4 linked regions of the Lonchura striata genome follow. The protein of the gene in region 3 purifies or fractionates together with the protein of the main gene of each other region. This does not show direct contact. Links are inferred from orthologs where the notes say so. Each region holds a gene or a part of one and is shown on either strand. Other genes may lie near its edges.

Region 1 (7,775 bases), on a different chromosome or scaffold from region 3:
GAAAAAAATTCCCATTTTCACATTTTTGCCTGTTTTTTAGTCTTTTTTTTCTGCTCCCAGCCTTCCATCAGGCTGGCAATCCAACCCTTCATTATTAAATATTTATGGGGACAGGAGTTGGGTTACAGCCAGGTGAAAGAGGAACCGGAGGGACTGGCATGGTGCTAGCACCCAGTGCCATCCTCATCCCAGGCACTGGGACAAGAACCCGGTTCCATCCTGGCTGTGGTTGTCACCCTACATTGTCCCTAAACCACAGGTGCCCATCACCAGCTCCATCCTGGCATGGCTGGGTGTCCCTTGTCCCCCACTTCATGGACATAGTGGCATGAATGTGCCAGCACACCGTGATGAAAAGTCCTTCCTTAGTCCCCTCCCTGGACTGTGAAAATGCCATCAGCCTTTTTTAAAGTTGTTACCATTATCCTCTTTCCTAAGGGACACTGGTCCCCCCCTAAACTGGGTGCACCTGCAAGGCTGCATCTACCTGCAGCAGCTGAGGGTGACACCCATGGGATGATGCTCGTCCAGAGCCACCATCACCAGAGGGTCCTGGGGGTGCTTCTTGGGGGAGTCTTACCGCGGCGGTGGCCCAGTGCCAGTGTCCTCTGCGGGCTTGGTGCCGGCGAGTGGCCGCAGCTCATCAGCTCGCAGGGCGCTGTAGCAGGTGGGTTGTCCAGCCTCGGTGGCCAGCACCGGGCTTGTCACCTCCTCGGCCACACCACCACCCTCTGGTGTTTTCGGCCAGCCAGCTGGCCCCACCGGCAGCTGCCGCAGCAGCTTCTGCACTGGCGGCAAGGACATCATAGCTTTGACTGGCGGTAGTGGCCCTGGGGATGGTGACAGGGCTGTGGCCCCGCTCCTCTGCCCAGCACAGTGGGCTGAAACCTGATGCTGTGGTTGGGATTGGGTTGCAGCCTAGATCAGGATGCAACTCCCAGTGGATGAGGCCAACTTGGGATGTCACGTCCAAAGTGACATCTGACCTGCAGGTGGGACTTGGGGACACTGCAGGGAGCTCCTTCCCCAGGGCTGAGTGGCTCAGTCCTGGGCAGGGAATGCACATCATGGTGGGACACTCTGCCTGGGTGGTAGGGTGGCATGATGGGGCACCTGTGGGTGTCTCAGCTGGGTGGTGGGGTCACACTTGGTGCATTTATCTTGCCACATATTACATGGATGCCATGGATGGCTCACAGGAGTGGTGATAGATCTGGTATGGCCCTGGCAAAGGGCAGCATGCAGATTATAGTGACACTATGGGTGTGAGGGACACTGTGAGTGTGGGGGACACTGCCAGGAGGTCAGGGGTAAGGGGTCATTGCCGTGGGGGTGCTGACACTGCCAGAGTGGGAGGCACTGATGGCAAATCACTGAGGTAACCGGGACCGACTGGGAGACACAGCCAGGGTGTCAGGGCTGGGGGATGCTTCCAGAGTGAGGGACACTGCCAGTGGGGGTCAGGGGACACTGGCAGACATGGGAGCAGGGAAGCATTTCCAGGCTGGGAGACATTGCCAAGGAGAAGTCAGAGAGGGGGAGACTTGGACAAACTGAGGGACACTACCAGCAGTTCCTGGGAGGGACAAACACTCTGAGATGTGGGTCATGATAGAGGGCACTGCCAGACTGGAGGACACTGGCAGTGGATCAGGGCTGGGGGAAATTGTCATACTGGGGGACAAAGCCAGGGGTAGGGAGTGTTACACTGCCAGACAGGGGCAAGGGACACTACTAATGGATAAGGAAATGGGGGACACCATGAGATGGGGATACTTCTTTCAGGTCATGGATGCAGGGCACATCCAGAGTGGGGGACAGTGCCAGGGGCTCTGGGTGGACACTGTCATACTGGGGGACATTGCCAGAGTATCAGAGAGAAAGGGACACTGCCAGGGATTCAGGGAGGGGGGACCCAGTGAGATGGGAACACTGCCAGGAAATCACAGATCAGGGACACATCCAGAATGGGGGACACTGCAGCATTAGGGAGGAGTACAGGGAGAGAGGGGACACTCCCAAACAGGGGACATTGCCAAGAGGTCAGGATGGGGTACACATTCAAGGTGCGGGATGCTGCCGGGGAATCAGGACTGGAGGAACATTGTCATATGGGGGGATACTACCATAGGGCAGGGATGGGGAGACACTGCTGGACTGGGGGACAGAGCCAGGGGTAGAGAGCGTGATGCTGTCAGACAGTGATTCAGTGCTTTCCTGCTGGGGCAGCAGGGACGGGGGGGACAGTGCCAGAGTGGGGGACACACACAGTAGGGAGGGCCAAAATACATTCCTGCAGCTCCAGGAGAACACCTCCCCCATTTCTCTTCACCCCTGCGCCCCCCTCAGGAGCGTGTCCCACTGTCCCACGGCAGGGTGACATTCCTTATCCTCATCCAACATCCCCCTGCCACCCACCGGGAGCCTCGATGCGATGGGGGGGTGTCAGCTCAGGAGAACCACAGGAGCCAGCAGACCCGGTGGTGGGAACACCGTGCCCGGGATACCCCAGCCCGAGGGTGGGAGGGTCAAGGGGCATCCCCTCATACCTCCCCCAACCGCAGCATCTCCAAAATTCCGCGGTGTTCCCACCCTCTCCGGCCTTTGCAACCTGCAATGACGGTGGCGGCGACCTGACCGCGTTCCCTGCCCCATCCTTGTCCCCATCCTCGTCCTTACCCCTATCCACATCCCCATCACCATCCTTATCCACATCCCCGTCCCTGTCCCCGTCCCCGCGCCGGGGGCCGCTCCATCCCCGGCTCGGGTACCGAGGACGGCGGCCGAGGCCTGCAGTGGCGGCCGCGCGGGCAGGCTCGTCCTTGTCCCCTCTGCCCGCATTGTCCCCACCTCTTGTAGTCGGAGGAGAAGATGCCGCCGCTGGCGGGGTCGTGGCCGTACTCGGGCTCGCCCAGGCTGGAGGAGCCGCCCTTCTCCTCGCCGTAGGCCGGGCTGGCGGCCATGGCGGCGGGAGGGATGCGGGATGCGGGATGCGGGGGGGACGCGGGAACTGATGTCAGCGCGGGCGGGGACGGGCCCGGCCCCGGCCCCCGCCCGGGGGCAGCGCCCGGCTGGGTCGCTCCCCGCCGACACCGGGAACGGGAGCGCAGGGGCAGATCGCTGCCCCAGGGGGTCCCTGCGCGGCCCCCGCACCTGCACAGCTCCGGGAGCGGGACACGGGCGATTCTAGGAGGAGCGATGCTGGGCACATAGCTATGATACAGTGACTGGCACTGAGCTCACAGCCGCACACATACCCGTCCAGAATCATGAAAATCTATCATTATATAGCAATAGACAATATTGTGTATGATTATAATTAGACGTATTTAAAATAGGTTACATTACAGTAAAGAATGTTATATGTTCGGATGTTATAATATGTATATCCTACCATATTACACTTTATTATTACTTTATAAATTATTCTTTTATGTGCAATAATGTGTGCAGTATACATAGTACACATTTACTTATATATTACATATAATTTATATATTCTATTACATGCTGCATACTGTATACTATATATTGCATGCTATTTATTACATTGCACTATATTATATTATATATTTCATTAATTATGCACTACTATGTATTTGCCATATTCATACTATGTTATAGACAATCCATAAACCATTCTACATTCTACAGTTTATATATATGATATAATATATGCAATAGGTTATATATGCAATATGTTATGCTATGTTATATTGCAGATTATGTTGTGTATTATGTATTATCTACTGTATGATAAAATTCAATATTTTATGATCTATAGTCCACATGATAGCATATGTGATGTATGATATCTGAATTATTATATATATTAGGTATGATATTAATTTATATTATTCTTATTGTTATAGATATTATAGTTTATATTTAATATTGTTATCAATAACATGATAGGAATTATATACTAGATATATGATCATATATTAACTATACTACAGACATCAAATACAAATATTGTAGACATGACTATGCATATTAATATATTTCATATATATTTTTATATACTACATTACTATAAATTATATAAATAATAAGATATCATTATTGATGTTATTATAGTTGAGATTTTGTTTGCATTTCTTTGATTTTTCCCAGGTACTTTATACTCTTGGCAGATATTTCTGCTGTTGTTTCTCCAGGCAACTGGTCCTGGAGCTGTGTGGATGGGGCAGCATTCACCCCATCCCACAGGAGTGAGGCAGTGAGGGAAAAGGGCCATGGTTCAAGTAGGAGAATTGAATAAAGCATCTAATTAATGGACAGCAATTAATCTTCAGCACAGAGACACACTCACTCCAGCCCTCCCAAGGACCCCACAGCCCTCCCAGGGACCCCAACCCTGCTGGGATCTCAGACCTCCCTGGGGACCCTGCTGCTCTCCTGGAGACCCCAACCCTCAGGAGACATAGAGAAGAGCCTGACTTCCCCCTTTTTTCCCCCTATAAACACTGATAAAATCCTACTGGACATTCCCTTCTCCCCGCTGAACTACCCCAACTCTTTCAGCTTCCCTTCCTAGGGAAATGCTCCAGAGCCTTGGTGGCCCTTTATGGTGTCTCTCCAGTGTGTCCCTGTCTCTCTCATGCTGGAGAGCCCAGCACAGGACGCAGCACTCCAGGGGTGCCAGCATCACCATGGGTTGGTGACTCACTCCCCCTCACTGCAGATAAACTCTACCTCATCAACTGGATCAGTAATGAAGAGGTTGACCAGGACTGGACACAGAGTTGTCCCTTGAGGTACACCACCAGCCTCTGGACAGACCTGATCCAGCCTTTTGGCCCATTTTCAACCCAGCAGCCCATGGAATATACATTTTTATGCTCAAAACTAAATGCTAGCAGTGAAAGAGGCAGATGTTTGTCTCAGGAGGCCATGGGGAGCAAAGAGCAGCCTCTCCCGTCAAGGTGGGACAACATTTGGCAGCAGCTTCTGGGAAAAGTGAGAAAACATCAAGCAGGGTTGGCGCAGGGTTTCCATGCAACTGTTTATTGCCACACAGGAGGATTGACAAATCCCTGGTGCAGTTCTGGTGCCCAGGGGAGGGTACTCAGCCCCACATGTTCCCCAGGAGCACCGTCACCTCCATCACTGCAGCGCTGGGGACACCTGGGAAAAATGAAGAGGTTTGGTGACACTTGGCTTGAGCAGGTGCCAAAATGTCCCAGGGTGGTGGTACCTAATGTAGTGGTGGCACCCACCATGGCACCAGCAAGGTGGCCCAGCCCCAGGAGGGCAAGAGCAAAGTGGATGCAGTTGCAGGTGACGGTGTCGTACTCCACTGGCTGGTCCATGGCCACCCGGATCCGTCGCTGCAGGGCAGCCACGTCCAGCCCTCCCTTCCTGCGGAGCACCTTGGCTGGGCCCCGTGTCCGTAGGAGGTGGCTCTTGCCGTGCTTAGCCACGACGCCTGATGGTGACATCCCTGAGCTGCCTGCAGGGCAAAGTGGACTCTGCACCCCATGTCCCTTCCATGGAGATGTCCCCATGCCATGACAGCTCCTGGGGCTCACCTTCCAGGTGGATGATCTCGCCGTCACCGCAGTAGATGCCAGCATGGGCACCCCACCAGCCAGGGCCCCCGGAGGCCAGCGGGAAGAGGAAGAGGTCCCCAGGCTGGGGCTCAGCCACCCCGTTGGGGACTATGTTGAAGTGTTGTCCCAGCAGCCCCTCGCAGAGGAAGAACCCTGCCGTGGTCACTGCCCCAGTCACTGCCTGGGGACCCAGCCATGTTTCAGGGCCACTGGTGGCCTGGGGACACCAGCAGTATCACTGACCTGCTGGCTCATCCCACATCATTGGTGGCTTAAGCACAGCTTGGGTCTCTGGCCTCCATGGATGGAAACCCTTTGGGAAGGGGCTGCCCCCTCGAGGTGCTGAAGCACCCATGGGTGCCAAGGAAAAGGCAGGGTGTGCAGCATCCAGCCCAGTTGTGCCAGGGCTGTGACAGGCAGTTCAGGGCACAGGGGCAATGCCAGCACTTACCTGCCTGGAACTGCTCACCTGGAGGGACAAACACCTTGCATCAGCCCCAGTGTCATCTGTGTCATGGCTCAGCCCTAGCCTGGGCTGCTGCCACCCCCTGCCCAAGCACCTGACTGGGATTCTCATGCCAGCACCCCCAAACCTGCCGTACCCAGGAGCCCAGCCAGTGCCAGGCCTGGAGGAACAGCCAGTCCGGGCCTTGCAGGGTCTGAAGGAGGGAGCTCACCTGTGGGGAGAGGAGGCAGGGCAAGACGGGAACTGTCCCCTTCTGACACCCATCCCCTGCCACCACCCGTGTCTCTGCCAGCACACAGCCCAGCCCAGTCCAGCCCAGCCTCCCAGGCCACAAACCCCCCCCCCCCCCCCACCCTGGCCCAGATCCAGGTCCAGGCAGGTCCTATGGCAAGGGGGTGGGATCACCTGGATGCAGGTGTCCTTCCTGCTGGCTTCCCCTTTACCTGGGCGAGGAGATTCATCTGCAAGCAGAAAACATGATGTCCCAAGAGCTGGGGGCAGGTACCCATACCTTGGAGACTTCTCTGTCCCCACAGCTGTGGTGACACGTCACCCTTCTAAAACCCAAGCTGCAGCCTCGGGGCTCGTTCTGTGCCCTGCTGCCTCACCTTGGGGGCACCTCCAAGGTCCCCTCACTCCACTGTGTTTCCCAAGCTGCTGCTGCTCCAAAGGTGGCTGCAGGGCAGGACCTCAGCCCGCCCCTTCGAGCACCACAGTGGCTCTTGGCAGCGGCACATGGCTCCACCGGTGCCTGGGAATGTGCCCGGACCGGCTGCACCGTGGCACTCTGCCCATCCTAAAGGGCCAGTCCCACGGGGACAAACCCAACCTGGTGTGACATTTCATCCACAGACCTCTTGGGTGACCCCAAAGGAGTCAGGAAACAGCCCTGTGGCCACCATGCTTTGGTAACCACTGACCACCAGGCTTATGACAAATCACCTCTCGGTGCCAAAACCCTTTGGCTCTGTGAGACCATCAGCCTGTACCCAGCCCCTTGTCCTAGGAATGGCCACCAGCCTGTCCCCGGCCCTGTCACCCCAGAATGGTGCATGCCCGGGGTCAGCTCCCGAGTCACATTAAACTTTAATCCTGGTGCCAGGGGTCAGTGAAGGCTTCAGCAGGGCTCAGGTGGGTGACTGTCACCCTCTGTCATCGGGCAACCTCCAAAGAATCATTTATCAAGGAGCCTCCAATAAACAAGAGCTAATTACAGGTGAAACCTGAGCCTGGCCTGGACCCAGCTCAGTGCAGGCAGTAATTAACCCTTCCCAGCCACCTCCAGTGCCACAGCCACCCTCCTAGAACTTCATGTCATCTTTTGTTGGTCTTGCCCCCTTCTAAACTCCACCATCCTCTCCTGGTCTCTGTTATCTTGCCCACATGTACCCATCACACCCTTCTCATTCCCATCCTCCATTCCCTCTCATTCCCTCCCAGTCCCCATCATCCCATCTCAGTCCTTACTATCCCATCATGATCTCCATTCACCCTATTGCATCCCACTGCCCCCTCATGATCTCTGTCACACCTTCCTGGTCTCCATCATCCCTTCCCGGTCACTGCTGTCACCTCCTGCTCTTCACATTTGTCATTGTCTCTGGGTCACCATCAAAACATCCAGATCCCCATTGTCCCCTCCTGAACTTCATTATTTCCTCCCAGTCTTCATCTCCTTGTTGCCATCACCCCCTCCTGATCCTTGTTGTTGCCTCTTGGTCCCCATCATGTCCTTTCCATCCCACATCAGCTCC
Region 2 (7,524 bases), on a different chromosome or scaffold from region 3:
AACCAACTGATAATGGCCAAGAGTCGAAGCTGGGAAGCAGCAGGAGCACCAGATGGGAAGGGCTGGGAAAGCCGGGGTGACCGAGCTGGGGTCTCCACTACCAGAAACCCCGACCCCCATCTCCTGAGAATGTTCTTCTGTCAGGAGGGGCCAGAAGAAGGGTGACCCACTGCTGCTGGCAAAGGTGTGATGTGCCCTGCCCAAGGGCTGGGGCTGGCCATGGGGCTCAGTGTTTTACATGCAAAGCCCATGCAAAGCTGAGAGTAAGGCTGAGTGAAAAACTGCTGAGTCCTGCCCATCCCACAGAGTCAGTGCCCATGAGCATATCCTCCCCCAGCTGTGGGCAGAGGTGACCTGGGCAGCTGCCAACACTTCTCCCACAGCTGCTTGACTCTCCTTCCTCCTTTGATAAACACTTTTGCTGACAAGAAAATCTCGTTGTGGCATTTTGGAAAGTTTGCAATAGGGCAAACAGTGAAACCAAACCCAACCTCAGCAGCTGTTAATGCAGACAGCGCCCCAGACCTGCTCACTCCCCTTCCCTGCCAGTTCCCCAGCTGGAATCATCAATGGAAAGGGAGCATTTTGCACCTTTTTTTTTTTTCCCAGTGCTCTTTTTTGTTCTATGTTTTGTCTCCAGCAAAGCAAGAAAATCTTGACCAACAGCAACACAAGCCCAGCGCCCTCAGCCAAGCCTCTCCCTCCTCCAAATCTATTCCTGGCTATCTACTCCCAGCTATCTTCAGCCTTGAGATCCAGAACATGATCAAAGAGGACGGTTCCCGCCCAGGATCTCCATCCAGCTCAAGAGGAAGCATTACAGGCTGTGGTTCAAACCAAAGTTTACCCAGCACTTTGAATTCCAAACACTCCCATTGTTCCTTCCCATTTTTTCCCAGCAGCTGTAGTAAAATGTTAACTCCTGAGCTGTCACAGCTGGAGCAGAGGCAGAGCGCCCCAGCGCCAGGCCAGAGTCTGCCCAGCTCCAGCAGGGCTGCCTGTGCAGCACAGGGGCAGCCCCAGGGCTCAGAGCAGCCCAGCACGCGGGTCTCTCCTTGGCAGGTCACAACGTCAGGGGCTTCCAAAGGACACGGGCTGAAACTTCCCACACAGGATCCCCGTCCCTCCCAGTGACCCCTGCCATCCCCACACCCTCCTGGCCAGCCCCAGCCCAGCACCCACCTTGTCCATGTGGAAGATGAGGTCCAGCTCACAGACATTCTCAAAGCACTTGTCCAGCGTCTCCACGAACACCTGGGCAGCAGACAGACACCACACCAGGCAAGATGGTCACGCCAACCCCATGGAACACTCCAGGCATGGGGCAGAGTGACTAGAAAGCTAAAAAAGGACCTAGGGATGCTGGTGACTGTGGCTGAACATCAGCCCAGGTGCGTCCAGGTGAGCAAGAGGCCAATGGCACTTGGCTTGTGTCAGCCCCAGTATGGGCACAGGCCCAGGGCAGTGCCTGTCCCCTGGGCTGGCACTGCTGGGACACCTCCAGTGCTGGGACAGCTCTGGGCCTCTCCCAAAAAGAGAAACCTGGAGGGGCTGGAGCGTGTCCAGGGAAGGGATCAGACCTGGGAAGGGGCCGGAGCCACAGGAGAGGCTGAGGGAGCTAGGAAGGGGCTCATCCTGGAGAAAAGGAGACTCAGGGGGCACCTTCTTCCCGTATCCTGGTGTTTAAAGGGTGGCTACGAAGCTGGAAACTCCTTTAACACTAGGAGTCATATGGAAAGACACAGAGCGATGGGTACAAGTTCCTCTTAAGGCTCAAGAGGAAAATTTTTTTCCAAAGACACAGCCGTTGAATAATCTCCATGAGGAAGTGAGGGATTCCCCAGCACTGGGTATTTTTCACAGGGCAGGGTGTTGGGAATTGTCTAGGCCATGTTTTGCCAAGAAAGGCTGGATGAGACAATCCCTGAGGTCCCTTCCAACCTGGGATTGCAGAATCCTAGAATTAATGGTTGGACTTGGTGCTCCCAAGGGTCTTTTCCACCCTAAATGATCCCATGCTTTGATTTTTAGAAGACATTCCTTCAGATTGCCTTCCCTGCTGCTCCCAGGTGAAGAAGCCACGCGGAAGCTCAGGGAGAACATGCAGCCCCCATCCCCAGCACGGCCCCGAGGGCTCCTCAGGCCTTTCAGAAGGGCTGGCACAGGGCTGGCAGGGCCACAAAACGCCCCCAATGGTGCCAGGGCTGGCAGGGAAGCCGGGCCCTGCTGGGACGCACCTGGATGAGGTCCAGGATGCCCAGCTCGCTCTCCGAGGAGTCCACGCAGAACACGAAGTACAGCGTGGCGTAGTGGCGGTAGATCAGCTTGTAGTCCGAGCCGCCAAACAAGCTGTGGGGACACGGGCACAGCTGCAGGCTCGGGCACGCCAGGTCCCACGCGGGGCCGGGGCACCGCCGGTACCTGCCGGTGCACGGGGCCGGGGCACCGCCGGTACCTGCCCGGGGGCACCGCCGGTACCTGCCGGTGCACGGGGCCGGGGCACCGCTGGTACCTGCCGCACTCCAGGAAGTTGCAGATGTGGTCATCGCGCTTCAGCACCAGGTGGAAGGTGTCGCGGATGATCTGCTGCTGCACCTCTTCTGCCTGCCGGGAGGACGCGGTGGCTGGGCACTGCCGGTGCCACCCGCGGGTGACCCGGGCACCCTGAAGGACGCGACAGGGCAGCGGCACGACCGCCCCGCTCCCGGGACGCCCCCCGCCCATCGAGCCCCACGGCCCCTCCGCCCCGCACCGCTCCCGCTCCCGCACCGGGCTCGGGCTCCGCCGCAGCCCCAGCGGCGGCCCCGGCCCCGCCCGGCCCCGGTGGCGCACCAGGTGCTGGTAGAAGCGGACGAGCCGCGGCTTCCCGTGGTTGTTGAAGACGAGGATGGCGTTGATCATCCCGGCGGCAGCACCGCGGCCGTAGCGCAGGAAGCCCCTCGGCCGCCCCGGAAGCGCACCGGGCTGCGCCGGGCTGAGCCCGGGGTGACCCTGCGGAGCGCCGGGCCGCGCCAGCGATCAAAGCCGCTCCGAGGCGGGGGCTCCGCGGCCTGCCGCCGGGAAGGGCTCGGCCGCTCCTCGCAGCCCGGCGGGGCAGACGGGCAGGCCTGGAGGGTGCGGCGGCCGCTGCCCGCGCGGGGACGGCTGGGACCACTGGGACCACCGGGACCGCCGGGAACACCGGAACCGCCGGGAACACCGGGACCCCGGGACCACCGGAACACCGGGACCGCCGCTTCCCGCGCGCGCCGCCAGGGGGCGCGCCAGCCCCGCCGGGACCGGCGCCTCGCGCAGGGGGCGGGGCTGTGTTAGACCACGCCTTCTTTTAAAGGGCCAGCGGCACCCTGAAGGGTGTGTGCCCGGACGGGGCGAGCGCGTGGGAACCGGCGGGGGCAGAGCTCACCGGCCACTGCCCGGTCCCGCTTCCGCCCAGCGCGGGCACACACCGGCCAGGGCCCGCAGTAACGTGAGAACAGGGCGGGGCAATCCCGCGTGGCACCGGGCGCTAGCCACGGGCCCTTACCGAGAGGGTACGGACACGGCTCCTCGGGACCGCCGGGCACGGCGGGGGACATCGAGGGCCGGGAGAGAAGGGTCAGTGCGCGCCGCGGGGCTGCGAGGAACGGGAGAGGAACGGGAAGGGAACGGGAGAGGGAACGGGAGAGGAACGGCGGCCAGCGCAGGGACCGCGCGTGCTGATTGGCTGAGGCGCCTGCGGCCGCGGGCATCCGCCTGCTGATTGGCTGAGTCAGCAGCCTCTTGAATCCGCGCTCTAATTGGCCGGGATGGCCGCATCCTCTTGAATCCGCGTTCTGGTTGGCTGAACTGGGCGCGGCCTTCTGAATCCGCGTCCTGATTGGCTGGAGCGGACGGGCCGCGACTCCCCGGCAGCCGGCGGTGCCGGGGCTGGCCCGGCCCCGCTCCGGGTCCCGCTCCCGGTCCCGGTCCCGCTCCGGGTCACACGGTGCACCCCGCTCCGTGTCCCGCCCGGTTCCCCGCCCTGTGCCCTGCTTTGTTGCCCGTCCCGTGTCCCAGCCGGGTCCCGCCCGGTGCCCGCTGCAGGCACAGCCGGAGGCGGGGGCAGCCCCGGGAATGCAGGGCAGCGAACCTCCTCGCGCCCCGTCACTGCCGGCGGCGCTTGTGCCCCGGCGGAGCCGTTCCAGGCCGCGGGGCACGCGCGGAGGAAGCGGCGCTCTGGGCACCGCCGGGGGCACCGCCGGGGGCACCGCCGGCCCCGCGCTCCGCAGGGCTCCGGGCTGGGACGTGACGGGATGCTGGGCGGCCCCCGGACACGCGCGGGAGATGTGAGCAGGGCAGCGGGGACGGAGCAGGGAGCTCGGCTTTCGCCACGAACACAAAAAAAAACCCCGAAAAGCAGAAGTGAGCCCAGACAAAGGACTGCGTGTGGAGACTAACTCTGCTGCGATTAGCCCGGCCGGCGCCACCTGCTTCCAAGGGGATGAGAATCTCCCGAGTCACGGCTGCCTCCGCATGCTCCTTCTTCTGTGGGGAGGAGACCCTCCTCTTCCTCCTCCTCCTCCTCTTCCTCCTCCTCCTCACGATGGGAGCCAAAGCCTGCAGCCTGCAGGGTTGCCACCCCCTCTCCCTCCCAAGTCACATCTCACCCCCGTCCCTCCCTCTGGGGAGCAGTGGCCTCCTGCCTCCACATCCCCACAGCTGCGTAGCTCAGCCTCTCCCTCTGCCTTCTCGGGGAAGCCAGGAGCACACCCTTCCCCAAACCCCCCAACTTCCTGATCACCTGCTCCCTTTCCCATGCCACATCCCATCTCACTGCCTCCTCCGGCCACCTCCTCCCACCCTACCGCGGCCTTTCCCTCCGCCTGTTTGTGTGGGTGAACAGCATCCCTCCCCAAACCCTCCAATTCCTGCAACATCCCTAATTCCTCTCATCCCATTCGTGGCGAGAGGAGTCCTTGCCATCAATCCCTACAAGCTTTTTGGGGTGCCCATGACCTTTCCCACCCCCGTGGCAGAGGAGAGCGATGCCCAGCTGGATGTGGGTCTCTTGGGAAGGTCATCCCCTCCTCGGCATCATTGCGTGGGGCCACAGCCCCCAGAAGGAAGGGTGAGGTAGAAAACGACCCCTGTGCTGCCGGGGGGGACATAAGGCAGGGACAGCGTGGGCATAGGGACCACTCCCACCGCCAGTCCCCCCACTGAGCCCCCAAACTGGTACCGAGGGCGGCCCCGGCTCCGGTGGAAGGTGCTGCTGAAGCGGGGGGGCGGCTCGCGGTGGTCGGGCAAGTTGAGGAGGGGGAGGAAGATGAAGGGCGGGCGAGTTAGGAGGAGCTGCTTTGCATCCCTTCACGTCAGCCCTGCCTCATTCCCTCCTTCTTCCTTCCTGCGCACCCAGCGCCGGGCCCGGAGCCGCCGCCGCCGCCGCCGCCCCGCGGAGCCGCCGGTGAGTCCCCGCCGGGCCCCGAACGCCCACCGACCCTCCCCGCTTCCCACGGGGGTACCGGAGCGGGGACCCCGCGGTGTCGCCGCCTTCCTGCCCCGCGCCACCGAGACGGGAGCGATGGCGGCGGGAGGGACCGGGAGGAGCGGGGCGGACCGGGGGTCCCGGCTCCGTGCCTGCTCCCCAGCAGCCCCCGAGAACTTTCCCCGCGGCCGCCCGCAAACTTTCTGGGCCCGCAAAGTTGCGGGGAGGGCGCGGGGCGGGGGCCCTGACCTGTTGCGGGCGGGGGCGGCGGCGCGGGGAGGGATGCTCGGGGCCGGGGTCGGGCCGCGCCGGGGCTCCGGTCCCCGAGCGCCGTGCTGAAGTTTGGGGAGTTTCCTGGTGTTCGGGAGGGGTCCCGGCTGGGGTCCGCCCGTCCGCTCCGGGGAGCGCAGTGCAGCGGTGGTGACCGGGTGGGCTGGTCCCGCACCGGGCGGGTCCCGCCCCACCTTCGGTCCCGAGCACCGGCAAGTCCCGGTGTGGGACCTCCCGGTGCTCCGAGGCGGCTCCGAGAGGGCTGGGGGGGCCTTTGGTTCTGCGCCCAAGCGAGGGACCAAGGGGAGCCGTGTGAGAGCCCTCCACAGCTCTGGTCATAACAGCGTGTAATGGGTAAATTAGTTCTATTAATTAATTAGTCAAGCATAGGATTTTTCTTGTGAGCAGCTGTGTAGGAAGAGAAGGGTGACCAGGGGGAATAGGGGCAGCCCAGAGCCTGACCTGTACCAGACTGAGCCTGACCCCACCCCAGGTTCAAAGACTGCAGCTCCATCAGCCCCCCACATCCCACACCCCACTCCTGTGCCCCACACCCCGCTCCTGTGCCCCACACCCTGCTTCTCTGCCCCACACCCCCCTCCTGTGCCCCATGCCACACTCTGTGCCCACACCATGCTGCCAGGCTTGCCTTGGTCACTTCTGTGGCCGGGGTTTGAACAGGCCCCACGGGCTGTGGGTCCCACACGGCACAGCTGGGTCCTGCGGCCGTTCAGGCTGGCCACAGGATTAAGCAAATATAGCCTGGGCTGGAGACAGACTCCAGGCTTGGCTCTGCAGGGGTCGCAGGGAGGCAGCAGCCTCGGCGCTCGCCCTGGAGCTGCCAGGGTGCCCAGTGCCTGGGGGCCGTGGGGAGCAGCAGCCGGGGCAGCGTGGCCGGGCTGTGGCCGTGCCCTGCTGCCAGCCTGGGTGACAGTGTCCTCACTGCAGGAGCTGCCAGGGAACAGGCACGTCCCCCTCGCCCAGGCCCAGCTCCTCTCCTGTGAGCAGCTCTGTGTCAGTGCCCTCTTTATGGGTCACACTGTGTCCCTCCAAAACGGGAAATAGCTGAAGCTCTGCTGCAGCCCAGGACACGTTGCCACCAAACCTGGGGGTGACTCGTGGGGTAAGACGTGGATCCCGCAGCCGTGGGAGTGGAGCACCTCTGATGGTGGGGTCACAGCTCAGCACGTTGGCATTTTGGGCTTGGTTTAATCCCCAAGAGAGTGTTTGTTTTGGGTGGTTTTATTGGGCCATTTTCATTTATCAACTAGTTTAGGAATCGCGGTGTGGAGAGGGAGGAGCGCAGGCACTGTCAGGCTTTGCTCTCCGGCTGGGAATATTGAGGAATCTACAAAGCAGTAGGTTTGTACTGCCAGGAACATGCCAGCATCACAACCTTGAGAGAGAGGCTGCCAGCACTCCTGTGTTTTAGTTATTCCTGTGGAGAAGTCAGCTCCAGCTCAGCCCAGTCTCTGGGAACGTCCCTGGGGCTGCAGGCCAGAGCCAGTGCTGGGGTGAGGGGTAGCCCTGTGTCGAGCGGGCTTCCTGCTGGGTTTGTTGCCCTCTGCCACGCACTCCCAGGTTTGGTTTCCCTAGCCCCATCACCTCCCTGGCTCAGGTGCAGCTCCTGGAATGCCCCGAATACCAAATTCAGGGCACGTGTGCCATGAAGGTGGCACGGTGGGGCTGGAGGAACGCTGCAGGATGGCCGGGATGTGATGTGCCACAGTGCCCAGTCCCATCCCCTGTGCTGCCTGTGGCTAGAGTCCTCAGCAAGTCATGGTCCCCCTGAGCCCTTCCCAAAGGGCTCA
Region 3 (7,326 bases):
ATTGTTTTTAAAAGGAAGTAGTCCTTTGAGAATAGTCAAAAGTTGACTCAAATCAGTGTTTGGTAGACATAACAAAATATGCAGTTTCCTCTGTGCTTTCACCAGTAGCAATTACAGCCTGCATGAGAATTTGTGCAGCATTTAATCTACTGTCTGATGAGCTTTCCAATAACACACTTGCATGGCACCTCTGTTCAATTTAGTTCCAGTATAAATCTTCTAACTGCTGGCAAGAGAGTTCCATCTCTTATCAACAGAACAATATTAGATTCTGAATAATCGAACAATATTAGATCCTGAATAGCTGCAGTTCCCTTTGGGACCTGTAAGAATAGAAAGCTTTGCTGGAAAAGCTAGAGTTTCTTAGAAAAAAAACCCACACCAAAACAATTACAAATTCCTTGCTAAAACTACATTTTTACATGGAAATGGAACATTTTGAACACTACTTAGATCTGAATCAGTAGGTTTAGGACTACTAACGGACGATTTAAGAAATTCACTCTCTGAAAGCAGTAGAATAGACAGATAGGGCCAAATGGACAGAGATAAAGTGAGTCTCATGTCACATATTTACTGTCCATAATATTTTCGGGAATATAATTAGGCTCATATTCCAGCCAAACCATTAAGAACTCTGAATGGACAAGGCAGAAGGATTCAGTCATAGGATATCAAAGCCCCAACTCAGCAACTCTTTGTGAAGATGTTTTCCACCATGCTCACCCAGTTCACTCCTCCAGTAAGTCTGACAGGCCAGAACAACAGTGCTCCTAGCTTTATACTACTGTGTTTCACAGGCTCTCTTTCAAGAGGCACTCAAGGTTCCAGAAAGGACAAGCACAGTGCCAGAGAGCCATGCACTACTGGAACACTCCATCAGAGCCAGCAAGCATCACTGGAACTCTGCTGTGCATGACAGCCCTTCCCAATGTGTGTGCACTCTGCCCCAGCCAGTCCAAACACAAGGCAGAAAGAAGGCACATAAACACTTCCTTCTCCTCCAAGAGGACAGAGCAAAGCAGCCCCCCTAATTATTTTATCTTGTATGAATGAATCTCATGAATACTCTAAGAAGTTCCTGTTAAAAGGCTGCCTTTCATACATTATGTTAAATAAGCATAAAAAAGATTCAACTTATCTTCGTTGTATTAATTTTTTGAAGTTATATGTGAAGCTGTAAGTTGGAGATAAAATAAATGGATATAAAAGGAAGGAACTTAACACTTAAAAAAAATAATTTGTTTAATTTATTGCCATTATTACAGCCATAAAATACAGTCACCACTCATCTCCTACTGTTCAGACTTCTCTACCTCCAGGACTTCAATTTCTCTTTTCTGAATCCTCATGACAAGGTTTTTATTAAAGATTCCTCATGTAAGGAGATCTTTATATGAGAGAATAATTGGGATTTAGCTGATCTTGCACAACAGAAAATTTAATTTCTGAATAAAACCAGCAAAATCAAACATGAGAGGGCATAGGCTATTCATCAAGTTTGATTTGCCATTTGCAAGGAATTTTCAGATATGTGCATACAGGCAGCAAGGAATCTATTTGTCCTCTTTCCCCCAAAAAAAACCCCAAGTTTGCTTGTTTTGAGTTAGCATGCAATATGACAGATGTTTTACAGAGCAATATCATTCAGATATTTCATCTTCTCTTTTTTTTCTCTTCAATAAATAAATGAGAAGCTATGTATGATTCAAACCCGCCGGGAACTGCCACAGCAAAATCATTCTCATGGTTGTCACAGTCAGTTCTTTTGTAAAACATTGTTTCCATCATTTTACCTCATGCATGAGTAACTGAAGTTGGTTTTGCTTTTCTTGTAAAGTACCTTTTCCTCTCCCATACTGCAGTCTGCCTGCTATGAACAAAAATTTTCATCATTCAAGTATGATTTTTTGTCTGGTTGGTTATAGAAGAGCTACACTGAATAGTGATGCTATTCCTCCAGTTTGATTAACACTTAATGGGTACGAACGATCCATCATACTGAAAAGACGGTAAGTGCATTACTAATTCACAGCAGATTTGAACTGAAACAAAAGAAAAGAACCGACAACCTCTACTCAGTTGCCGCTGGGTACTGAACAGGGCGGGAGCGATGTGCAGCGCATAGTGATGGATGATAACGCGTTTATTCCCAGCGCATATTAGGCAGATCCGCACTCACAGGGCCCCTCGCTAATTAAGCGGTTACAGCTGGAGTAGAAACACCACGGCTGCAGCAGGGCTGCTGAAGATCGACCCAGGTGAGCCGGCGCCGCTCCCCGGCCCGCCCTGCCCCTCCCGGCCCGGCGTGGCTGCGGCTGCCGCACCGCCCCGCTGCAGGCCCCGCGCTGCCCGGTCCCCCTCACGGCCCTGCGCCTCACGGCGGAGCGTGAGCGCTGCACCCCGCCGCTACCGCCTCTGCACGCTCCGCCGGGCGGTTCCGCACCTCCGCCGCAGCCCAGAACAACGGCGTGGGGGATGGTACTCGAACACGGCGACGATTTTGTATTTAAATGGGCACCGAACAAAACGGGAAGTCTCGGATTTGCAGGGCAGCCTCCCGGTACCGCCGCTGGCGGGGATGTCGCCCCTGCCCGGCGTCGGCCGACCAGCGCGACCGGGATCGGGCACGGGCGGCTCCCGCCCGGCAGGGATCCCGTCCCCCCGGGCACGGACAGAACCGCCCCACTCCCTCACGGCCCGGGCCCCCCGCGCCCCACGTACCTCCCCCGGCCCGGCACGGCCCGTCCCGCTCCCGGGACAGCGGCCAAGATGGCGGCGAGGCCCGGCGGCGGCGCGGGGCCGCCCCCCGGCGGAGGCGCGGCCGGCCGGGGCGCTGCCTGCGCCGAGCGCCCGAGCACGGCCCCCTCGCTCCCCGGGCCCGCCGGCCCCGCTGCCACGGCCGCCCCTCGCCGCCGGTCAGCACCGCTCGGCCCCTTCGGCCGGCAGGAGACGGGAGCGGCCCCCGGGCGCTAAACCCACCCGGGCCGGCGCCGCGGCAGCGCGCGGCTGGGCAGGGACGGCGGGCGGTCCGGCTCCGCTCCCCGCCCCGTCAGGCGCCCGGCGCGGCCGTACGTTCGTCCCGGCGCCCCCGCCCCCCGGTGGCGGTGCCGGCGCGGTCGGCGGGGCGGGCCGGGGCCGGCGGGCGGGCCGAGGGGAGCGGAGCGCGCCGCACGCCGCCCAGCGCGAAGATGGCAGCGGGGGAGCCGCAAGCCAAGAAGCTGAAGCTGGAGCAGAAGCAGCTGAGGTAACGGGCGCCGGGACGGGCTCTGCTTCGCCAGCAATCCCTGCGGGTGCCGGAGGTCGCTGGTGCTACTCCCGGCGGAGGGCGAGACACGTGCCGCCTCCGCGGAGCGGTCGCACTCCGCGGCAGGGTCCCGCCGCGCCGGGCTGCGCGCGGGGGCGCGGGCGGCCCCTCCGCGGCACCGGGCGCACGTGCAGGCGGCGGCGGGGCCGTCCCGCCGCGCTGCCCCGGCGGCTGCGGTGCCGCTGCCCGGGCCCGGCGGGTGCCCGGGGGCGCCGCCGCACTGGGCTCCCCGCAGCCGAGGCAGGGGCGGGTGGGCGGCGCGGGGGTCGCGCTGTGCCCTGGGGTCGGGTCGGTCGGTGCGAATGGGCTGCTGAGAGTCTGGATGGGTTGCGGTAAAACGGAACGCTGCTCGCAACGATGGCCCCGTACTAGAGCACAGCTGGGATTGTCACTGCGTCTGCCTCCCCTTTGAATATAAAATACCCCGATTAATACTCTCGCGAGGGTGTCTCTGTCCCTGTTAGATAGGAAACTGAAAATCCGAGTTAACAGTTACATTTTCTTCAAGACATACCGTATAATTTAAAATATCTTCATATTGAAATAATCTGTGCGATTTGCTATACTTCCTCATTTCTGTGATCACAGTACAATAGCACTGGCTGAATCCCATTTGAATGATGGCCTGCACAGACATAAGTAATTTATTTTTAAATGTCATAGCAGAAAAATGTAAGGTTTCTCAATGGAGGATGCACAGTCAAAATGAGAACTTTGAGTACTGAGAGCTGTAGAGCAGTTTTGGTGGTTTTTTTTTTTTTTTTTGGTACAGTTTCAAGTTTGTTTTCTCAGGATTATTCAGATATTAATATAATTGGAAGATAGCTGACTTCCTTCCAAGTGTTCAGTGTGTGAAGAGAATTAATGACATAAGCCTTGAAAGGTCCAAAATTATCTTGGCGATAACTGATAACCAATAACTCACTCAAATATAGCATAAAGGGGATGTACTTTAGTCCTGAGATGAGAACAATTTTTTTGGTACTGATGTCCTTATTAAAAGAGCTAATCCTATTAAATTTGTCAAAGTCAGGGTACTTGCTTCTTTGGCAGCTAAGTGACTTTTCAAGTTTAGTAATGGTTGACAAGCTCAGTTGCAGATAATAGAAGAGGAAAGATGTAACTGAGCTCTGAAAGCAAATAAATGGCATGCAGCAAGGTAAGGTTATAGTAAAAAAGCAACAGTTATCTCCATGTCTCCTTAAAGCAAGATGAGGGAAGAAACTGGAAGCTGCAATGTTTGTTTATAAAGTTTATTAGAGGAAAAAGCATTTTAAGATGAAATATGAGAAAAATTTCAAATCTGAGAATATTATTGGTGTACCGAGTTAAAAATTTAAAGGTTGTTTGCAGTGGAATGAAAGGCAATGGTGACATACCATGTCTGGTAATGACTGACTAAACTGCAAATACTACTTCTGTAAGGTATGATAGATAAAACAGGAAGAATGTTGTTAGAACTTGCATATGTTAATTCTGTTGCAAGTTATTTCAAGCCAAAGTATAAATAGGCTCCAGTTCTGTTTCATAAGAGGAGAAATGCCATAATTAACTGGTGATCAAATAAAGCTAATGTGTGCTGTTTGCCACAGGTTGAACTCATGAAGCAGTTGGTGGTTGGACTAGATTTAGCAGACTTCAGCACTCATATGAATGTAGTGGCAAGAACATGTTTGGCTGAGTGCTGTTGTGGGACGTAAAAGCAACTAGAGAAGGTACCAGACTGGTCGAGGTTCCATGACTTGGCTGTATTTGTAACGAGATTCAGTTGTAATGCAAAGCACTGCTAGATATGTTTGGAAACGGTTCCTCTATAGATTAGAAAAGAAGTGAAAAATCACTTAATAATTTCGGAGGTCAATAGCATCGTACTTGTTATACCAAGAATTTGAGGGGATTATAGAGAATGATTGCTTGTTCTCAATATGTAGATCTGGGGCTCTCCAGTCTCTTCAGAAAACCATGTCTAATGGATTCAACAAGGCTGGTTGTACCGTATTTATCCTCCCATATGATATCAACCTCAACCTTTCCCATGACTACCATGAAAACTATTTTAGTATAAAAAAATTAATTCTGCAATGCAATACAAGCCATACCTCATCAACAATAGCAAAGGTTTCCTTTCCCTGTTTTTTCTCTTTTTTTTTTTCATAATTTTTTCTCTCAAAGTGGCTTCATAGAGGTTTCATGGTTACATTTTTAGACCCCTTTGATCTTTTCAGGCAAAGGAAAGCAAATATCGCTCCCTCATGAGGTAGGCAAAGCTGACTGGGTTCAGGAAGCTACACTTGTTTGAAAGCAGTATAGGATGGCTGGCTTTTGCCACCCAGTGAGCAGCATACAAAGCCCGAGACCCAAACTGGCATTCCCAGCTCAACAATGTGTTGTGCTGACATTCATCTGCTGGGCGGCAGGTTTTGCATTGTCTTTATTGACTCCTGCAAATCCCCACTACAAACCAATGGGCTTTAGGCAAGGCCATTAATGTGTGCTGCCTTGTTTTGGGCTTCTGACTGCATCTGTGCTCTGTGAACTGCACTGTTTGAACAGAAAATGGGCTTGCAAAACTGCAAATGGCTTGTCATGGAGTGGTAGCACCAACTTACTAGAAACATCATGAGGTGTTACTTTAGAGGAAAATTACTAAGGATTTGTGTTCTTTTATATGTGGTTTTGTTAGGGAAGTCTGTGAAAACCACAGGCAGATTCTCTTAACAGTCTGGTACAGATATGAAAGAATTTGGACGTTTTCTGTAGAAATGTTTGAGCTTAAATGTATGTGTCTGTATAGAAATATGCATGTTCATCTTTTCCTTCTGCACACAAACTTGTCAAGTCCCCTGTGCTGCATTATGACCTTCTGGCTGTTCTGCAGCTGCTGTATTGATTGAATAGTCATGACGTGGCTAGTTGTTTGAACAAATCAGTTTATCTAGTAGGCAATGTAAGCACTGAGTTTGGCAAATAGTTCATGCTAAAAGTAAAAAGTACAGTATTCCTCCTCTTCTGCTACTATTAGAGATCTCTTCATTTTAAGAATAAATTATCAAATACTCTGTGCATAATTGTTATCAAAAGCAGTCTTTTGTCATTACTGTTCCACTAGATTTTAGAAAGCTTGGTACTAGTGGCTGTAAAAAATATTGCTAATTTCACACATTTTAAATTTCCTTAATAAGCTGGCTTTTAATTTAGCTTATTCTTTCATCAGCTCTTTATAAATGAAAGAAGATTTTGAATATTTTAAGTTAGCTGTGGCTAAGCTTTCAGTTAGAATTTAGTAAATAACGTTTTTCTCTCTTTTATCTCTTGGTTTGGGTTTGTATTTTTTTTGGGGGGGGGGCGTTTCTTTTTGTTTTTTAATTTCACCTTACTCCCCATTTGTATTCATTTCAGTTTTTGTCTTCATGGCTTATAGTTTTCTTACTTTTCTATTTCTTATATCTGCAAACACAGGTAGTGTTTTCCGTGTTGGTACACATAATGTCCTCAGGTCAAAGAAGGAGCTGAAACTCAAGCACTTTTCTGTGTTTGTTCCCAGAATTAGAGCAATAGACTTTTTCTTCAGATGAATATTTAGTCTTCTTTAGAAATCAGACAAATACTCTTGAGGACACTAGCCACAGACGTTGCTAATTTTGTTTTATTTAGGATGCAACAGCAGTTACCTTCCCTTCCAAGCTGTGTTGACAGAAATACATCCAAAACCGGAATGACTTGCAGCATGGAAACTCCTGTGCTGTTACAGTGCAGGCACTGGTTTCCATTGTTCAGATGTGTAACTCTCAAATTACCCTTGACAAGTGTCTTCACCTGGCCTTTGATGTAATCCTCTGGGATTTTGCACAGCACGAGTCATGTTTCCACATGACAACATGTTTTGTGTTTGTGTTTTGGAGAAAGATTGCTGTGGCGTTTCATCCTTTTAGTTGAAGTAATTCCTTGCTTTATTGTAGGGAGTGTGTAAGCTGAGGAAACAGGAGGTTGTGGGAAGGCTCTTTGGACCACAGGCTCTT
Region 4 (7,831 bases), on a different chromosome or scaffold from region 3:
GTAGCAGGAGATGCTTAAGAAACATAAAACCCACTTTGTCCAAGCCCTTGGTCAAGAACAGCAGGCTGCCCAGGGAAGCAGTGACATCACTGTGCCCAGTAGGTTTCAAAAAACATGTAGACGTGGAGCTCAGGGACATGTTTTAGGGTGGACATAGCAGTGCTGGGTCAACGGCTTGGCTCAATCTTTGCTTCCCTGATTCTATGCTGGGAAGGACCAGGAGTCTGGTGTTGCACCTGCCTGCAACCACCTGAGCTCGGTGGGTGCTTGGGGGCTGCACTCCCACACCGACCCTGCTCACAGCCCATTCTCTTTCCCAGGGAGGAGTCCGGAGCTACGGGAGGACCTCATTGAGTCTTTCCATCAGTTGGCTCTGGAGATGGGCATCCCTGAAGACTCCATCTTCATCCTGGCCAACAGAGGTAACCTCCCATGGGGCATATGCCTCTCATGCTGCCAGAGCACTCCAGGTGCTCCTTCTGGGTCTGCCAAGCTGGGGAGAGGGGGGGTGGTCAGGAGGGAGGAAGGAGAGACAAATGCATTGGTAGCATGGGATGAAAAGGAAATAAGGCCACGTATCAGGATTCTACCAGAGAAATCATCTTCCAGAGGGGTCAGTTCTGGGCTGTCAGGTCAGTGCAAACACACCATTGTGCTGGGATGAGGGCATGGAACACTTGTGTCTGGTCTCCAAGCTGGGTTCTGCCAGCACCTGGGAGGCTCCTTGCTTAGTCTGGGGTTCAGAAGGGGATAGCAGGATGGAGCATGTGTGGGGGTGTGTGTGTGTGTGTACGATTTTGGGGGAACCCAGGGGGACTGTGGGGATTTCAGGGAAATGGGCATTTTAGGATGGTGCTTCTGAGTGTGAGGTGGAAAGCAGAAAAAGGGGAGTAACATTGGGTGGAAGTGGGAGGGTGTCCCCTTGCTCAGGGTCCTGCATGTGCACAATGCTGGACTCACTGAAGTTTGTCAGGACACCTCTCCTCTCACACTGCTCATCTGCTCTCCTGCTTCTGGGTCAGGTGAATGTGTTCCTCAAGAGACTGAAAATGCTCCCCAGGTGAGTGGCCAGCTGGGACCCTCTGAAGTGGATCAAGGCCAGAAACATCCCCTCCAAGCCAAACTCACTGGAGATCGGGTGTCCAGGGAGAAGGATCCATGGGCAGGACATGTTGTTTGGGCAGTGGCTCCACTGACCATCTTTGGAGTTGCTCTTCCTCCTCTGCTGATGGGCTTTGCCTGAAGGGATGGCACAGGCTGCAGGGGGGGTGGGTCCTGGTGGCCAGGTGGGCACAAGAGCTTATTTCCAGGTGGAAGACTTTTCCTACTCTGATTTTTTTCACAGTGTGAAGGTTGCTGATGTTTCCTTGCTCCTTGCCTGTCTGTGTGTGTCCCAGCCAGGCTGTAGGCTCCTTCTCCAGGGATGGGGAAGCTTAACACCCACTGGCTCTTCAACTTCCATGACTCAGCACCTCCCAGTCTCTCATGGTTGAGTGTTGAAAGATTTTCCAGGGGGAATGAGACTTTCATAGGAGAAAAAACCCTATGTCTGGGTTGACTGAGTATGTCTAAGCTCTATGTCTGAGTCAACAAGAGTTGACTCAAGAGCAGGTAACACATCGTTGAGGCACACCCCCAGCACCAGCACGAGGCATGACTTGGGCACTTGGGGTGTCTTAATCCACAACAATCTGGGTTTGTGGACCCCACCCTGGAAGAGCACAGGGCTGGAAAGATCATGATGTGTGGAGGGATCACAGCCTGCAGACCCAAGACCAGTGACTGGAGACTTGGTGGGAGCACAGAGGAGGGTTGGAGCCTGAGGTGCCCCTGACACAGCCCACCCTCAGGACAATGGGGTAGGCAGCAGGTCCCACAGACAGGGACTGATGGCAGCTCTGTGCTTCCTTACTGTGCAGAGGGCACGGAGAGCAGTCCTACCCCTGGAGGAGGGCTCAGCCGCAGGACCCCTGCCCACTTACGTTGGCAATAAGGAAGGTAGGTCACAGGGGAGGGGGCTGCATCAGGACGCCCCTGGCCTGCACTCCCATTCCCCTGTGACCCATGGGGTGCTGGTCCACAGACTCATGCCGGCTGAGCCAGGACCCCGGGCCCTGCAGCGGGATGCTCTCCCGCTTCTTCTACAACTCCTCCTCCATGGCCTGTGAAACTTTCCATTATGGAGGCTGTTTGGGCAATGGCAACAACTTCTACTCAGAAAAGGAGTGCCTGCAGGCATGCCGGACCGAGGGTGAGAATCCCGGCTGGGTTGGGGCACTGGAGGTGCCTTTGCTGAGGCATCACAAAGGATCTGAGCCTTGCCTCAAATGCCATGTGTCTGCCATCCATGTGGGAAGTGTGGGGGTGCTTGGACCCCCCATCTCATGCAGCTCCTGTCCCTGTAGCTGCCTGCAGGCTGCCCATTGTCCCAGGACCCTGCCAGGCAGTGATGACACGCTGGGCCTTCGACGCAGCCCAGGGCAAGTGCATCACCTTCAGCTATGGGGGCTGCAAGGGCAACGGGAACCAGTTCTACTCGGAGAAGGAGTGCAAGGAGTACTGCGGGGCTCCTCAGCTGGCAGGTACTCCCCTTGCCACCCCCCCCCACCACCCCCCAGGGCAGCAGCCTGCAACAGCTTCTGTCCTGCACTGGGTCTGCCTGGGATGGGGACAGAGCGGTCCTGGTTCTGGATTGGTCTGTCCTGACTCTGGATGGGTCCAGGATGGGCCCATCATGGGCCTAGGATGCATTTGTCATGGGTTAAGGATCAGTCTGGCTCTGGAATGGGTCTGGACTGGTTTTGTGCTCTTTCTTCAATGGGTCATTCTGGGTCAGGACGGACACGGGCTGGGTTTGTCCTTGGGCTGGGATGGGTTTGTCATGGGTGTGGGATGGTTTTGTGCTGTGCCTAGGAGGGATCTGTCCTGGGTAGGGAATATGGCCATTAACCCACAAACAGTATGGCACAGTGGGGCTGGGCAAGCTGCAGACATGCTGAGGCCATGACTGAACTTTGGCATGGTCTTGATGAGAGGGGGAACGTCCACAGGCAGGTTGGGGTGCAGCGGGGAGCAGTGGAGGTGACAGACATGGGCTGAAAGACTTGGTGGTGCAGGAACCCTGACACCAACTAAGGACCAAGCCAGGGTCCCTGTCAGGGGTGTGATACCTGCCAGGCCCCCCCAGTTCCGGCCAGTGCAGGGGTTTCTGTACTGAACCTCCTTGGGAGACACAAGAGGTACCACTTATCCCTCAGGGAAAATGATGACCAGGTTGTCAGGAGTGTGGCAGAGAAAATCATCCTGCAGACTGAGGTGTCTTCCACCTTATCCAGCCCTGGGCGTGCCTACTCCCAGGAGGACGGGAGCTGGGGACTTGGCCCGACCCCATGGATGGGAGATGGAGCCTGTCCTAGGGCAGAACTCATCTTTTATAATCCCTGCCAGCAATATAAAGTACACTAATGCCACCATGGCGTGTGGTGGGACACAAAGTGGGGGACCAGCACGGGTGTGCAGGGATAAAGTGGGAAGCAGCATCCATCATCTGTGACTGCAGGGTGATGAGGGCTCTGGGGGGTCTGTCCATCACCTGCTGTGACTCTCCACTTGCAGAGGACGAGGAGTTCCTGCAGCTCTCAAACTGATGGAGGCAGAGGATGAGGGGCCAGCATCCAGCACCAGGGTCATGCAGGACAGTGCTGACAGCTGTGGCAGCCCAGGAGATACCTCCAGCAGTAAATGTCTCTCATGTGACCAAAGAGCCCAGTGTCAATCCTCAGGCTGGTGGGGAGCAGGGTGGGGGACACAGGAGGGGCAGAGGATGCTGTGGGGTCCTCTCTGGTGGGTGTCCCCATCTCTTTGGGGTTACTGGGCTCTCCCCGCTGAGTCTCTGACCCTTCCTCAGGCCACTGCCCTCTGCCCACACAGGGCTGGGGGGACACCGAGAGGCTCAGGGGTGCCACTGGGTGGACTCCAGCCCCCATTTCCCAGGAGATGGGGTTGGGCTGCTGGGAAGGGGACCAGTGTCTGCTTGTCCCTAAGGGTGAACGATTGCAGCTGTCTCGGGGTTATGGTGTGACCAGGGAGACCCGTGTGCGGCCGAGATGGGCTGCACGGGGGGTGGGCAATCAGGGGAGGGTTATATGGGGTTTGCAGCACGGGATTACGGGGTGTCGGGTAGGACCGTGAGGGTCACAGCAGAGTTAGGGGGTTTCGAGGGTCACGGGAAAACGGGACTGGCATAGGAGCAGACGACACGGGTTATGGCGGTCCCAGGGGGCACAGGGTCCCAGGAAGGGATTAGAGGTGTTTTGGGGGGAGTCCCAGGGATGCTGCCGCGGCCTCGTGAGGCATTACGACGGTCATGGATGGGGGGCTGTGAAGCTGCCAAGAGGGGATTGCGGGAGTCTTGGGGGGGCTGTGGCGGTCCCGGGGGCACGGCCGGGGTTGTGTTGGTCACGCTGCGGGGGTCTCGGGCGCGTCGGGCTGCACTCGACCCTCAGTCACGGCGGGAAGCTCCCGGGGTCGTGGCAGCGATGGCGCTCCGCGCCCTTCTGTCCCCCGCCGGCCGCCGTACCCGCGCCGCGTGCGCCCCGGCCCCCCGCGGTGAGGCGGAAGAGCCAAGATGGCGGCGGCGGGAGCCCCGCGCCGCCTCCGCTGCCCCCGCCCGGCTCCCGGCCCCGCTCCCCGGCTGGGCTGAGCGCCCGGCCCCACCGCCCCGTGCCGGACCTCGGCAGCGGCCCCACCGTCCCGCGCCGGGACATGCCCCGATAGTGCCTCCCCTCCCCCGGCGCAGCTTCCTCCTGCCGGGCCCGGCCCGCACACCTCCGCCCCGCATGGCCGGGCTGGCCCCGCCGCAGTTCTGAGCCGCCCCGTGCCTCCGCCGCGGCCGCCCGGCTCCCGAGCCCGCGCTCGGCCCGTTCCCCGGGGTGCAGGTGTGAGACCACGAAGATGTTCTCGGCCCTGAAGAAGCTGGTGGGCTCGGACCAGGCTGCGGTCCGCGACAAAAACATCCCTGCGGGGCTGCAGTCCATGAACCAGGCGCTGCAGAGGAGGTTCGCCAAGGGAGTCCAGTATAACAGTGAGTCGGAGCGCTGGGCCGGGTGGCCGGGCCAGCCCGAAGGGAGGTGGGCGGCCCTGTCTGTGCCCCCTGGGTGCCTAGGACCGCAGAGGGGCTGGGAGTGCGTGTGCTTTCTGTGTGCAGGTTGGTGCTTTTATCCGTATTCGCTCAAAGCCAGGTTTGGAATTAAATGTGGGAGGTCATTGGAGGAGTGAGGAATGGGAAACTTTCGTCTTTCGGCGCAGGACTCGGGACCCGCGGTGCAGCAGCGTCCCTGAGCGCTGCCTGCCGGCTGTGGCACAGGAGGGAGTGCCTGGTACATCAGGTTGTGTCAGTTCGAGCATCAAGAGGGTAACTCCCCTGAGTACGTGGGTGATCTTCCCTGCAGCACAGGATAATGATGCTTATAATTAAGCTGTAGTGGTTGTATGATAAGTGTCTATTAAAAAGCTCAGCCCTGCCAGGCTTCAGTAAAAGGTGGACAGCAAATACATACTTCTGTGTGCCCTTAGTACATCATTTCATCTTGGCTATCTTTTCTGCAACGATACATTTGCTCTTTTATCGAGGAACGCTTTCAGAATTCTTTTTCTCTCAGTGTTGAGGTTTAGGACTGCATTTTTCCCTTGGAGCTCAGTAAAGGTGATTTCTAGTATCGGGTTTCAGGAGGGCACTGCAAGTATGTGAAATACATCCCAAAGTAACAATTGTGAGATAGGGACAGCAGTTATGTCATTCCTGCTGAAAATAGAGCTGGTTCCAGAGAGTGCTGCAAGTACCAGCTCGTCTGTGTGGAGGCAGATTGCAGAAGGCTGAGAGATTGGCAGGTGGGAAAAAGACTGATTTGTGAATGTGGCACTGGTTAATTTCTGTGAAGGCACACATATTGGAGGAATAGAGCTTCTGTTGGGTCTTGGTCTGAAACAGAATGCAATAAAGAAGTTACACTTAGGATTTTGGGGTGTTTTTTTTCTTTGTTTAATATTATGTCTGTTGGCTTTGGGACTGAGGTTTTGAAGTGCTCTGCTTTACTAGAGAAAGCATTTGGTGCCTTTATCCCTAGCACATCTCAGATATGCCAGTGCTGTTTAATTTATAAAATTAATGTCTTAGCAAGCAATCCTGCATGAGACAAATAGAAGTGTGATTGTTGAGACTGGGTTTACAGTGAAAGATGGGGGTGAGGATGAAGGTGCTGCCTTGGAACACAGCACTGCATCCTTAAACATGTACTGGAGATCTGCTGGTCTCGACTGTTGGTTTGTGCAGAGGCTTCATGTGGCCACAGCCCAGAAGACCTGTGTGCTGCATGGGCAGCCGAGTGCCAGAGATCAGGTAGCTAATACCAGCTTGTGAATTATGTAAGAGTCAGGAGCTGGCTTCTCAGACAGGGGAGATTTGTGCTGCGGATGGAAAGGATCAGCTGCATCCTGCTGGCACAGGATGGGACCAGCTCTGCTCCATGGTGACTGCATCATGCTAGACCTGTGCATGGGCACCTGCCTGCTGTTTGTGCAAGGCCAAAAATGCTAACTGTAGCTTTGCTGCTTTTTGTCTTATTAGTGAAAGCCTCAGGAAAGATTTTTGGTTTGTGCTCTGTCTTGCCAGGACTTGCATTCCAGTTGCTGCTTTGTAGCTGAAAACCCAGCTTTCTGTCACTGCCTTAAGGCAAGCTTTCCAATCTCCATAGTAACTCTTCCCAGTGTCAGTGTTATATAATATTTATAGGAGATACAGGCTGGCTTATGAAAGTAAGGGTACCCCCCCATAGCCATAGCACTGGGGAGATGGGGAGCATTCCTATGTGAAGGAATGGCATTACAAGGGCCATTGCTCAGGAAGGGCAGAACTGCAAATCCTGTGCATTGCCACTTCTCCTTTCTTGGCAAATTCCTGACATTCAGCGGAGGAGCGCAGGATGTGATTTGGAGCCACCGTTAGCACACAAAGATCTTTACAACTCCTGTTTCCCTGAAACTGCCTAAACCTAAACCAAGGGGCGCTGTGATTTGTTTTACAGAAGTGGTTTTTTGCTGCATTAGACCACTACAGATCCTGAATGAAGCCTGTTTCCTTCCCAGAAATATACTTAGTATACTGAGAATATGTTGGGTTGTTCACTGATAGAGCAGGCTGGGACACAGGCCTTGTACCTGGCTCTGGGTGCCTCCCAGGGCTCAGAGCAGCCCCTGCTGCGCCAGCCCTGCAGTTCTCAGGTAGATTCTGTAACAGATAGCCCCCATGTTTGAGGTCGTGTTGAAGGCTGTGAGGTGTTTTAATGGCACTGATAGTTACAGAGCCTGGGTAGAATAGAGCACTAAGTTGAACCTGAATGATTTGTTTTGATGGTACCTCTCCTACACGGTCAACTTTTCAAAAGGAAGAGCATTGTGAGGTGGGAAGGTTTAGATTTCTAATGAAATTATGAGAACAGATACCAATATCAGCCTTTGGCAGCAATCATGTCCTTTGCTTGGACATTCTATTGTAAAACAAAAGCATTTCCATACTGCATTCCAGCACGCACACACTCTGTTCCATCTACATGGAGCTGCTGTGGTTCGCATCCAGTTAACACCAGAGTTCCCTGAGCACTCAGAAAGCACAGAGCTGAAAATGACGTGGGTCTGTGCCATGTATGTCATGGCTGGAATCTTAACAAGGGATCATGATTCCAGGGCTTGGGAACTAGTCTTTGTGAAAACTTCCTCTTGTTTTCTTGCTTGGGATACCCTGGATCAGGTGTGCTGCATTACTGTTCTAAGGGCT

Evidence for each region.
Region 1: the proteins of AP3M1 (region 3) and AP3B2 purify together in Homo sapiens (co-immunoprecipitation; 3 studies listed by BioGRID and IntAct, counting the BioPlex papers as one, with this or other methods). This does not show direct contact. The link is inferred for Lonchura striata from reciprocal best matches to the Homo sapiens genes AP3M1 and AP3B2.
Region 2: the proteins of AP3M1 (region 3) and AP3S2 purify together in Homo sapiens (co-immunoprecipitation; 3 studies listed by BioGRID and IntAct, counting the BioPlex papers as one, with this or other methods). This does not show direct contact. The link is inferred for Lonchura striata from reciprocal best matches to the Homo sapiens genes AP3M1 and AP3S2.
Region 4: the proteins of AP3M1 (region 3) and RABL6 purify together in Homo sapiens (co-immunoprecipitation; 3 studies listed by BioGRID and IntAct, counting the BioPlex papers as one, with this or other methods). This does not show direct contact. The link is inferred for Lonchura striata from reciprocal best matches to the Homo sapiens genes AP3M1 and RABL6.

Annotation. Positions count from the first base shown.
Region 1 is NC_134613.1:7,232,124-7,239,898, reverse strand, and holds the start of AP3B2 (AP-3 complex subunit beta-2), read right to left. Parts: upstream 3,005-7,775; 5' UTR 2,964-3,004; coding exon 2,851-2,963; intron 1-2,850.
Region 2 is NC_134613.1:24,310,378-24,317,901, forward strand, and holds the start of AP3S2 (AP-3 complex subunit sigma-2), read right to left. Parts: upstream 3,014-7,524; 5' UTR 2,902-3,013; coding exon 2,833-2,901; intron 2,605-2,832; coding exon 2,513-2,604; intron 2,350-2,512; coding exon 2,238-2,349; intron 1,255-2,237; coding exon 1,183-1,254; intron 1-1,182. UniProt on the Homo sapiens protein: Part of the AP-3 complex, an adaptor-related complex which is not clathrin-associated. The complex is associated with the Golgi region as well as more peripheral structures.
Region 3 is NC_134609.1:11,960,237-11,967,562, reverse strand, and holds the start of AP3M1 (AP-3 complex subunit mu-1), read right to left. Parts: upstream 3,008-7,326; 5' UTR 2,983-3,007; intron 2,818-2,982; exon of another isoform or gene 2,725-2,817; intron 1-2,724. UniProt on the Homo sapiens protein: Part of the AP-3 complex, an adaptor-related complex which is not clathrin-associated. The complex is associated with the Golgi region as well as more peripheral structures.
Region 4 is NC_134624.1:5,627,835-5,635,665, forward strand, and holds the start of RABL6 (rab-like protein 6), read left to right. Parts: upstream 1-4,814; 5' UTR 4,815-4,953; coding exon 4,954-5,083; intron 5,084-7,831. Other genes in the region: protein AMBP, read left to right, coding at 321-422, 1,023-1,060, 1,920-1,998, 2,084-2,251, 2,406-2,582, 3,616-3,647. UniProt on the Homo sapiens protein: May enhance cellular proliferation. May reduce growth inhibitory activity of CDKN2A.